Linked DNA regions of Xenopus tropicalis. The protein of the gene in region 1 binds, or shares a complex with, the protein of each later gene. Links are inferred from orthologs where the notes say so. Each region holds a gene or a part of one and is shown on either strand. Other genes may lie near its edges.

Region 1 (3,650 bases):
TATTTATTGGGCTGGGGGGCTGTTTGGGCATCTGTGTACTTGCAATGCCAGGGGCTATTGTGAATCCCAGTTCAGACCTGATTAAGTACAAGCTACAACATGCCATAATCCTTTATGGTGAGCTTTTGTTTTTTTTTTTTGCCCTCAGATACCCAAGAGAGCACGTTAATGGAAGTCAGTGTGTGCCTTGCCACCCTCAGTGCCTCCCACAGAATGGAACTCTGACATGCAATGGCACGGTAAGTTAAACCTGTGTAATGTGGAGTCTACAAACGGTTTACCAAAATACACAAGTGTATCGAATTTAATTATTTTTGTTTTTATTCCTACAGGAAGCTCACCAGTGTATGGAGTGTGCTCACTATTTGGACGGAGAAGACTGTGTGGAGCAATGCCCTAGTGGGGTGAAGGGAAATTCCTTTGTACCCATTTGGAAATACCCTGACAAGGATCGGATCTGCCAGTTATGCAATGTCAACTGCTCCCATTCGTACGTAATGTTCATTGGTATCTCAACAGTGCTCTAGTTTTCTACCCTTGCCAACATAGGTTAATGCCACATGGGGCTGATTCTTGGCATTCATTTAAAGGAAAAGTAAAGGTTAAAACTAAGTAAGCCTTATCAGGCACGCCTATGTAAATACAGCCATAAACACCCACAGCAATGCTGCCCTGAGTCCTCTGCCAAAAGAAACACAGCATTTCTTTCCTTCTATTCTGTCCACATGTTCTTCAGTATCAGACTGAAGGGTTTGGGCTCGAGCATGCTTAGCTTGCTCCTCTCTTCCTCTCCTCCTCCCCCTCTTGCCTCTGCTGTAATCTGTGCCCAGAGCACAGGGATGCAGGCATGGAAGTGAAGTCAGACCAAACTAACATGGCAGCTGCTTTCTTAAACAAACAGAGGGAGCTTCTAGGGCTGTTTACTCAGGTATAGTAAAGCTTGCTGCAGAATATAGTGTTCTAGCTTGCACTATTGTGGCTAATCTATTGGCAATAAACTGCATCAGTAGCTTTCCTTCTCTTTCTTCTCTCGCCGGTGGGATGACATACGCGGCATGGCGATTTGCCAAAATCGTCGAAGTTGCCTTGAGAGGAAACTTCGGCGATTTCGGCACCGCGTATGTCATTCCACCGGCGATTTGCATTGTAGCTGGTGGGATGGCATTTCGGGGGGATTAGTCTCCCGCGACAAGGGAGATTTGTCGCGTGGTGACTAATCTCCCCGTCTGTCACGGCCCTTAAGCACAGGCCAAGAATTAGCTGATCCGCGGACATCCACTCATTTGTGTGTCTGCACCAAGAGCCTCTGCGTTTGCCCGGCTCCAGGCACACAAAGTGAATTTTGGGGCTGAAATGCATACTTGCTCATTTCAACACTGAAATGCGCATTATGTGTCCTGCCCTGGGCCGACACTAAGGTCCAGTCACCGAAGGTAGGAGATAGGAGTTGAGGGGCTGTTTCTCGGCCTGCGTATTAGTGCAGACCGAGAATAAGCCGATCTGTGGGCATCTGCCCAGTTGTGTATCTAAACCTGGAGCCACTACAATGGCCTGGGTGCAGACACACAATGCGGATTTTGGCTTATACGCAGGCTGAGAAACAGCCCTTATGGGATTAAACACAATATATAAGCCACAGTAATAATATATGCATAATGCATAGGGTCCAAAACCGTTATCGGATAACACTTGTAGTCAATATAAATACACAGTACTTAGCTTGCTGTTGTTCCACCAGGTGCAATCAGCTGGATGAAAGGGGCTGCCCAATTTTACCAGACAACAGGTAAGTTTGGCGATTAAGTTCTAGTAGATTTGCAGCATGTTCTAGTTTCTTCTGAGTTTCCATAACATCTGTCTTATTCCTTTTTCTCCCATCGCCTGCAGCCAAGTGTACATGGTAGCTTCAATTGTGATTAGCATTCTGATTGTGATAACCATATCAACTGCCATTGTGCTGTATATCCGGCGCCGAAAGCAGCTGAAGAAGAAGCACACCATGCGCCGCCTTTTACAGGATGAGGTGTGTGTGGTGCCACAGCCCATGTTTATTATATAGAGCATAGACCGGAGTCAGGGACTTGGCATATGATCTCCTCTCCATTTCCCTTGTGCTTTCTTTTCCAGCTTGTGGAACCGCTGACTCCAAGTGGGGCTATTCCCAACCAAGCCCAGATGAGGATCCTTAAGGAGACAGAACTTAAGAAAATGATGATCCTAGGATCTGGGGCATTTGGTACTGTGTACAAGGTGAGACATCATGGAAATGGATACTGTTTTGTATGGAAATGGATACTGTTTTGTAATTCTACATATTTAACTGTTTCTCAGTGCAACATACAGTATGTCAGATCAAGCAATTAGAGGCTACTACTTCAGTGAACAATAGACTGACCAAGAAGGAATGAACATTGTTGCTCTCCAACCCCTTGGATGTTGCTCCCAGGGGCCTCAAAGTAGCTGCTCATTTTTTAATTTCTGGCTTGGGGGCAAGTTTTGGTTGTATAAAACCCAGTGTAAAGCCAAACAGAGCCTTCTGTAGGCTGCCCGGCCACATAGGGGCTACCAAATAGCCAATTATAGCTCTTATTTGCACACCCAGGAACTTTTTCCATGCTTGTGTTGCTCCCCAACACTTTTTCCATTTGAATGTGGCTCACGGGTATAAAAGGTTGGGGATCTCTGAACTAGACCCTTATACGTTACTATTTATATAAGTGAAACGGCAGCTAAATATGTATTTGGGGATGTGATGATATTATGAAGATTTACAGTTAGCCATCATTTATAGCAGGACTGTCCAACTAGAGGCTCACAGGCTGGATGTGACCCTCTAATTGGCCCCCAGTTTGCTCTAGGGTTCCATAGTCTTCATTGTATGACATCGTCATTTTAATACAATTTGGCCCTGAAACGTGTTGTATAAGAATTAATTGGCCCAATTGGACAGCACTGATTTATGGGATACCAACCCATAAATATAAAGTACAATCTGGTTGCTATGGTCGCTAACACAGAAATGCTTAAAGCAGTGTAAAGTAAAATGAAAAATTGTATTTGTCAAAGGTATCATTCAAGCTGAATATATACTACCCTGGGCACCCCACAATATCCCAGTACCCCAAAAGTGCACCACAGACCCCATTGTGTAACCAACACTGCGGAATCAACACATCAACCTGGACATAGCTTACAGAATGGGGCAGCATTTATCAAAACTAGACTGTTCCAATGAAACTGGACCTGAGGCAGAACTAGCTGACACTGAAATAATTACACTAGTGCACTAGTGCTGCCCCCTGCTGTTTTTAAGGCCCCATAGCATTCTGAGACATAGTCACTATTTATTGGGCTGCTGGGGGGCTGTTAGGGCCTCTGTGTACTTGAAATTCCAAGGCCTATTTTGAATCCCAGTTGATCTTCTGAAGACTCTGAGATGTCTAAACCCAGTCTAAACCTCATTTAGCTATGCTTAGAAAAGAGTTGAGCACTAGGGTGGTTAAACAATATGTTTCCATTTGGTAAACCCTATCCCGTGGCTGTCTTTCCCATTTTTAGGGTATTTGGATTCCAGATGGTGAAAACATCAAAATCCCAGTTGCCATCAAAGTTTTGAGGGAGAACACGTCACCTAAAGCCAACAAAGAGAT
Region 2 (3,650 bases), on another chromosome or scaffold:
TAGTGGGTAGGAGGGGTCAGTGCCAGCCCCAGAATTAGCGGGTATCAGTGCCAGCTTCATTAAGGTACCCGCTAGTGGGTATGAGGGGTCAGTGCCAGCCTCAGAATTAGCGGGTATCTGTGCCAGCTTCATTAAGGTACCCGCTAGTGGGTAGGAGGGGTCAGTGCCAGCCTCAGAATTAGCGGGTATCTGTGCCGGCTTCATTAAGGTACCCGCTAGTGGGTAGGAGGGGTCAGTGCCAGCCCCAGAATTAGCGGGTATCTGTGCCGGCTTCATTAAGGTACCCGCTAGTGGGTAGGAGGGGTCAGTGCCAGCCTCAGAATTAGCGGGTATCAGTGCCAGCTTCATTAAGGTACCCGCTAGTGGGTATGAGGGGTCAGTGCCAGCCTCAGAATTAGCGGGTATCTGTGCCAGCTTCATTAAGGTACCCGCTAGTGGGTAGGAGGGGTCAGTGCCAGCCTCAGAATTAGCGGGTATCTGTGCCGGCTTCATTAAGGTACCCGCTAGTGGGTAGGAGGGGTCAGTGCCAGCCCCAGAATTAGCGGGTATCTGTGCCGGCTTCATTAAGGTACCCGCTAGTGGGTAGGAGGGGTCAGTGCCAGCCCCAGAATTAGCGGGTATCTGTGCCGGCTTCATTAAGGTACCCCCTAGTGGGTAGGAGGAGTCAGTGCCAGCCTCAGAATTAGAATTCTGATTGGCGGGAATGCCTTACAGAGTAATAATGGGGGGGCAGTTGTATTTCCCAGGGGTACATGGGGTACATGCCAGGGCACTGATGAACCCTCTGTCGCGCAGGGCACGGATCCGGGCCGCGGTTACATTGCCACCCAGGGGCCCCTCCCGCACACCATACAGGATTTCTGGAGGATGGTCTGGCAGTACCAGGTGAAGGTAAGAGGGGGGGCAGTACCAGGTGAAGGTAAGAGGGGGGGGCAGTACCAGGTGAAGGTAAGAGGGGGGGCAGTACCAGGTGAAGGTAAGAGGGGGGGCAGTACCAGGTGAAGGTAAGAGGGGGGGGCAGTACCAGGTGAAGGTAAGAGGGGGGGCAGTACCAGGTGAAGGTAAGAGGGGGGGGCAGTACCAGGTGAAGGTAAGAGGGGGGGCAGTACCAGGTGAAGGTAAGAGGGGGGGGCAGTACCAGGTGAAGGTAAGAGGGGGGGGCAGTACCAGGTGAAGGTAAGAGGGGGGGGCAGTACCAGGTGAAGGTAAGAGGGGGGGGCAGTACCAGGTGAAGGTAAGAGGGGGGGCAGTACCAGGTGAAGGTAAGAGGGGGGGGCAGTACCAGGTGAAGGTAAGAGGGGGGGGCAGTACCAGGTGAAGGTAAGAGGGGGGGGCAGTACCAGGTGAAGGTAAGAGGGGGGGGCAGTACCAGGTGAAGGTAAGAGGGGGGGGCAGTACCAGGTGAAGGTAAGAGGGGGGGCAGTACCAGGTGAAGGTAAGAGGGGGGGGCAGTACCAGGTGAAGGTAAGAGGGGGGGGCAGTACCAGGTGAAGGTAAGAGGGGGGGCAGTACCAGGTGAAGGTAAGAGGGGGGGCAGTACCAGGTGAAGGTAAGAGGGGGGGCAGTACCAGGTGAGGTGAAGGTAAGAGGGGGGGCAGTACCAGGTGAAGGTAAGAGGGGGGTAGTACCAGGTGAAGGCAAGGGGGGGGGGCAGTACCAGGTGAAGGTAAGAGGGGGGGGCAGTACCAGGTGAAGGTAAGAGGGGGGGGCAGTACCAGGTGAAGGTAAGAGGGGGGGGCAGTACCAGGTGAAGGTAAGAGGGGGGGGCAGTACCAGGTGAAGGTAAGAGGGGGGGGCAGTACCAGGTGAAGGTAAGAGGGGGGGGCAGTACCAGGTGAAGGTAAGAGGGGGGGGCAGTACCAGGTGAAGGTAAGAGGGGGGGGCAGTACCAGGTGAAGGTAAGAGGGGGGGGCAGTACCAGGTGAAGGTAAGAGGGGGGGGCAGTACCAGGTGAAGGTAAGAGGGGGGGGCAGTACCAGGTGAAGGTAAGAGGGGGGGCAGTACCAGGTGAAGGTAAGAGGGGGGGGCAGTACCAGGTGAAGGTAAGAGGGGGGGCAGTACCAGGTGAAGGTAAGAGGGGGGGTAGTACCAGGTGAAGGCAAGGGGGGGGGCAGTACCAGGTGAAGGTAAGAGGGGGGGCAGTACCAGGTGAAGGTAAGAGGGGGGGGGCAGTACCAGGTGAAGGTAAGAGGGGGGGGCAGTACCAGGTGAAGGTAAGAGGGGGGGCAGTACCAGGTGAAGGTAAGGGGGGGGGGCAGTACCAGGTGAAGGTAAGAGGGGGGGCAGTACCAGGTGAAGGTAAGAGGGGGGGCAGTACCAGGTGAAGGTAAGGGGGGGGGGGGGCAGTACCAGGTGAAGGTAAGGGGGGGGGGGGCAGTACCAGGTGAAGGTAAGAGGGGGGGGCAGTACCAGGTGAAGGTAAGGGGGGGGGGCAGTACCAGGTGAAGGTAAGGGGGGGGGGCAGTACCAGGTGAAGGTAAGAGGGGGGGGCAGTACCAGGTGAAGGTAAGAGGGGGGGCAGTACCAGGTGAAGGTAAGAGGGGGGGCAGTACCAGGTGAAGGTAAGGGGGGGGGCAGTACCAGGTGAAGGTAAGAGGGGGGGGCAGTACCAGGTGAAGGTAAGAGGGGGGGCAGTACCAGGTGAAGGTAAGGGGGGGGGCAGTACCAGGTGAAGGTAAGGGGGGGGGCAGTACCAGGTGAAGGTAAGGGGGGGGGGCAGTACCAGGTGAAGGTAAGAGGGGGGGGCAGTACCAGGTGAAGGTAAGAGGGGGGGCAGTACCAGGTGAAGGTAAGAGGGGGGGGCAGTACCAGGTGAAGGTAAGAGGGGGGGGCAGTACCAGGTGAAGGTAAGGGGGGGGGCAGTACCAGGTGAAGGTAAGAGGGGGGGCAGTACCAGGTGAAGGTAAGAGGGGGGGGCACTGCCCTTCAGTCGGCCCCAGGGCCGGATCCCTCCTCTCATCATTTGTCTCTTGTCATTGGGCAGGTCATTGTGATGGCGTGCAGGGAGGTGGAGCATGGAAAGGTAAGTACCCACCTGTCTCTCAATGCCCCGCCCATCTCAGCCCCCCATTGCCATTGGTTGATCTATGGGGAGGGTTGTTCCCTAGTTGGGAATATGCACAGGGGGGGGGGAAGGGGGGGCAAATAGCTCAGATTGCCCCGGCAGATCCAACAGGGGCATTTCTTACCCTTATTCCCTGAACACTATTCACAAGCTGCTTCTGTTTAAAGGGGAACTAAAGCTCAGCAAAGAAATAAGCTAAAACTGCTACACTGTGTATTGTGGGCCCCCACACCAGCCCGGGGCCCCCACAGCCCCTTAGTGGCACAAAAGCATCAGCTCCTATGCCAGATGTGACCTCACTTCCTGTTTGAGGATTGGCCACGCCCCTGGGCCGGTACTGTAGGGCCCCACCTTCTCCTGTATTTATATATCCCCATTCCTCCCCTAGAGAAAGTGTGAGCGATACTGGCCCCTGGATGATGCCACCACGCCGGCCCAGTTTGGCCCATTCACCATCAGCAAGGTAAGTCCCATTAACTCCTTATCAGCCGGGACCCACAATCCTCTGCTGACCCCATTCCTTCCTTTCAGCTGGAGAAGAACAGAGTCAATGCCGAGGTCATCTACCGAAAACTCAGGGTCACCT
Region 3 (2,839 bases), about 100 kb from region 1:
GCCATTTATATGGCAATTTGGACTGGTTTTTAATCTGAAATTATTGAATGTTTCCATATAGAAGAAAACAACTCACCGTTACAGCCTTCCCACCCCATGTCAGGCCACCCCACCCAACAGTGCAGGTAGGTCTTCAAACCACTGAAGCTCCACTGGGTGATGGTCCCCATGCCTCTGAAAGTTTGCCAAGATTAACAAGTAACCAATTTTCTAACATTTTAGCAATTCACAAATCTCAAGCCTGGTACCATGGGCGCCTGTCAAGAGATGAGACTCAGCGGCTAATCATGCAGCAAGGGATGGTGGATGGGTGAGTGGCTGCCAAGTCAAAGTCATATCTGTTCTTTTAAAGTACCCAGAGGTTGTGTTGGGAAAAGCTAGACATCATAAACATTGAGAAGGTCACACAGCCAAGGGGAACTTAACATTTATTTCTTGGGTGTGTGGGCAGCGTCAGACTGGGCCTCTTGGGCACACAAGAGAACTTGACTGTGGGGCTCACTGTCACAACTAGTGGGAGTAAAACCTGCTAAACCATTTAGTTAGAACTAAGTGGAATTACTCTACAGAGGTTCCCTGGTACCCCAGCAGGCGAGTCTGACTCCCGCGTATGGGCCGAGCTGCTAAATGTAAGAGATGAAGCTATTGGCACAGTTCCAGGCAGAAAAGTGTATTTTTATTTTCATTTCTATTTCATCCTTGCCATGTCCTTGCTTCCTGCAGAGTTTTCCTGGTACGGGAAAGTACGAGAAACGCCAAAGGCTTCGTCTTGTCTTTGTGCCACTTGCAGAAGATCAAACACTACCTAATCTTACCGGTACGTGCCAGTCAGAAACCAATATGGCAGAACAGATCCCTAACATTGCCCAAAGCAAATTTTTTGGATGATTTATTCTACTTCTCATATGGAACAGATTTACATTGCTAAACTTCATTGATGCCGCCTCTAGTCGCTGGGCTCTCTCTTCTGTGAATGTTCCTGACATAGCGACATTTTATTCTTGCCAAACAGCCCGTCCATCTCCCTCTTACAACAGGATGGCCTGCAATAATGGCCGACTTTCTTTCTTATTGCTTGTTGCTCTATTCCTTTGTTCCTGCAATCCCATTCCAAAGTTTCACAACCTGTCTGGTTCTAGTGATAATTTGCATCCATGGTCTAACAAAGGTGTTCCAATGAATTTATGCATGTTACAATTGACCCTCTTACACAGTGATCCCCAACCAGTGGCCCAGGAGCAACATGTTGCTCCCCACCCCCTTTGATGTTGCTCTCAGTGGCCCATTTTTGGCTTGGAGACAAGTTTTGGAAGCCCAGAGACACAGTTTTACCCCAAGCAGAGCCTCCTGCAGGCCAGTAGGCCACATGGGGCCTACCAAATAGCCAAGCACAGCCCTTATTTGGCCCCCAAAGAACTTTTCATGCTTGTGTGGCTCCCCAACACCTGAGTGTGAGTTATGAGTAAAAAAGGTTAGGGATCCCTGCTCAGCATTTTTTGTTATTCCACATTTTAATGCTTTATTTGTTGCCTTGATTTCAGTGTGAGGAAGAAGGCAGGCCTTACTATTCAATGGATGACGGAGAGACCAAATTCCTTGATCTTATCCAACTGGTTGAGTTCCATCAGATCAACAGAGGAATCCTGCCTTGCACTCTGAAACACTACTGTACAAACGTGGCACTGTGACAGGGGCCTTGGCTGGGGTCTCTGAAAGAAGACCACTGGGAAGCCATAGAATGGGATGACTGTTCCACTTTTACTGGTATCACTCAGATACAGTGTAGTATTGTGGATGGTTTGGTCCAACAGGGGGCTAGTAGCTGCATGCCCAGCATTAAGGCAAGTGATACAAAAACGATAGCTACCGAGGACTGAGGTATGAGAAGAAACTCAATAAGCTACATTTTTTAAAATCTATGCTGGTGCAAAAGCTTCACGTGACTGTCATGGCAGTCAATAAGACAATTTGGTTCCAAAGAAAGACTCACTTTCCCTTTTCTGTGGACGCCCACGAACAGATGAAGAACGCTGGGTAAATGCCATGGTAAGTGGTGCGTCTGTTGCTGAGAGCACTGTACTGTAAATATCAACACGGCCAGTCGATGGTCAGATGTTTTATATGGTAAATCCTAACTATATATATATTTTTGACATCTATTTTTGCTTATTTTTGTACAAAAACACTCTAACCTCATTCTGCTTATGAAGAGAACATTTTATTTATATCTACCCAGACGTGACACGTAATAAAAAAAAAAAAAAAGAGAGGAAAAGCTGCACTACCCAAACGTTTGTGGCTGCTGTGTTGTTGCTGTGCATTCTGGGATTTTCATGGCCTGTTCCTCCTCATTGGCATACATTTTAGCACCAGTTTTGCACTGTACAGAGGCGCAGAAGAAATAATGTATGAAAAACCATTGACTTCATTCACAGAACAATCCACCTGATTCCACTTGTAGGTGTTGGGGGCCCTAGCCATTAACTCATTTGCCATTATTTATCCAATTCCTACCCAAAATCTCATAACTGTCCAATAGTAAAGTACACACAGATGTACAGCTGTACACAAGGCCTCCATCAGAAACTTTGGGGCCCCCATACAAGTGATTTATATAGGGGTCCCAATTATTAACACAAGCACCAAGTACCACATTTTTGGCCCATGTGTGTGCATTATAACCAGCTGATGTAACTCTATTATAAGCAGTTCATATAAAGAGTTCCATTGATTAATGCACTAATTAGAGGTCAGTTCATTGGTGGTCAGTGGAGTTTGCCCTAAGTTTAACCCCTTCCTACCTACCTGCCCATAGAGGACTATAGAAATACCTTGGAGG

What was found.
Region 2: the proteins of erbb2 (region 1) and ptpn18 are in contact, whole or in part, in a crystal structure (PDB 4NND), measured with the Homo sapiens proteins. The link is inferred for Xenopus tropicalis from reciprocal best matches to the Homo sapiens genes ERBB2 and PTPN18. Residues at the interface, in NP_004439.2 of Homo sapiens: Leu1109, Gln1110, Arg1111, Tyr1112, Ser1113, Glu1114; in NP_055184.2 of Homo sapiens: Arg61, Tyr62, Lys63, Asp64, Val65, Arg138, Asp197, Arg198, Ser230, Ala231, Gly232, Cys233, Gly234, Arg235, Arg268, Ala273, Gln276.
Region 3: the proteins of erbb2 (region 1) and grb7 are in contact, whole or in part, in an NMR structure (PDB 2L4K), measured with the Homo sapiens proteins. The link is inferred for Xenopus tropicalis from reciprocal best matches to the Homo sapiens genes ERBB2 and GRB7. Residues at the interface, in NP_004439.2 of Homo sapiens: Pro1135, Gln1136, Pro1137, Glu1138, Tyr1139, Val1140, Asn1141, Gln1142, Pro1143, Asp1144; in NP_001025173.1 of Homo sapiens: Ser437, Arg438, Glu439, Gln442, Arg458, Glu459, Ser460, Asn463, Gly466, Val468, Lys476, Lys478, His479, Tyr480, Leu481, Ile482, Tyr492, Phe493, Ser494, Met495.

Annotation. Positions count from the first base shown.
Region 1 is NC_030686.2:9,815,347-9,818,996, reverse strand, and holds part of erbb2 (receptor tyrosine-protein kinase erbB-2), read left to right. Parts: intron 1-148; coding exon 149-239; intron 240-332; coding exon 333-490; intron 491-1,738; coding exon 1,739-1,786; intron 1,787-1,887; coding exon 1,888-2,023; intron 2,024-2,127; coding exon 2,128-2,250; intron 2,251-3,558; coding exon 3,559-3,650. UniProt on the Homo sapiens protein: Protein tyrosine kinase that is part of several cell surface receptor complexes, but that apparently needs a coreceptor for ligand binding. Essential component of a neuregulin-receptor complex, although neuregulins do not interact with it alone.
Region 2 is NC_030684.2:703,677-707,326, forward strand, and holds part of ptpn18 (tyrosine-protein phosphatase non-receptor type 18), read left to right. Parts: intron 1-795; coding exon 796-891; intron 892-2,983; coding exon 2,984-3,022; intron 3,023-3,452; coding exon 3,453-3,527; intron 3,528-3,595; coding exon 3,596-3,650. UniProt on the Homo sapiens protein: Differentially dephosphorylate autophosphorylated tyrosine kinases which are known to be overexpressed in tumor tissues.
Region 3 is NC_030686.2:9,714,453-9,717,291, reverse strand, and holds the end of grb7 (growth factor receptor-bound protein 7), read left to right. Parts: intron 1-61; coding exon 62-125; intron 126-222; coding exon 223-310; intron 311-723; coding exon 724-817; intron 818-1,541; coding exon 1,542-1,688; 3' UTR 1,689-2,290; downstream 2,291-2,839. UniProt on the Homo sapiens protein: Adapter protein that interacts with the cytoplasmic domain of numerous receptor kinases and modulates down-stream signaling. Promotes activation of down-stream protein kinases, including STAT3, AKT1, MAPK1 and/or MAPK3. Promotes activation of HRAS.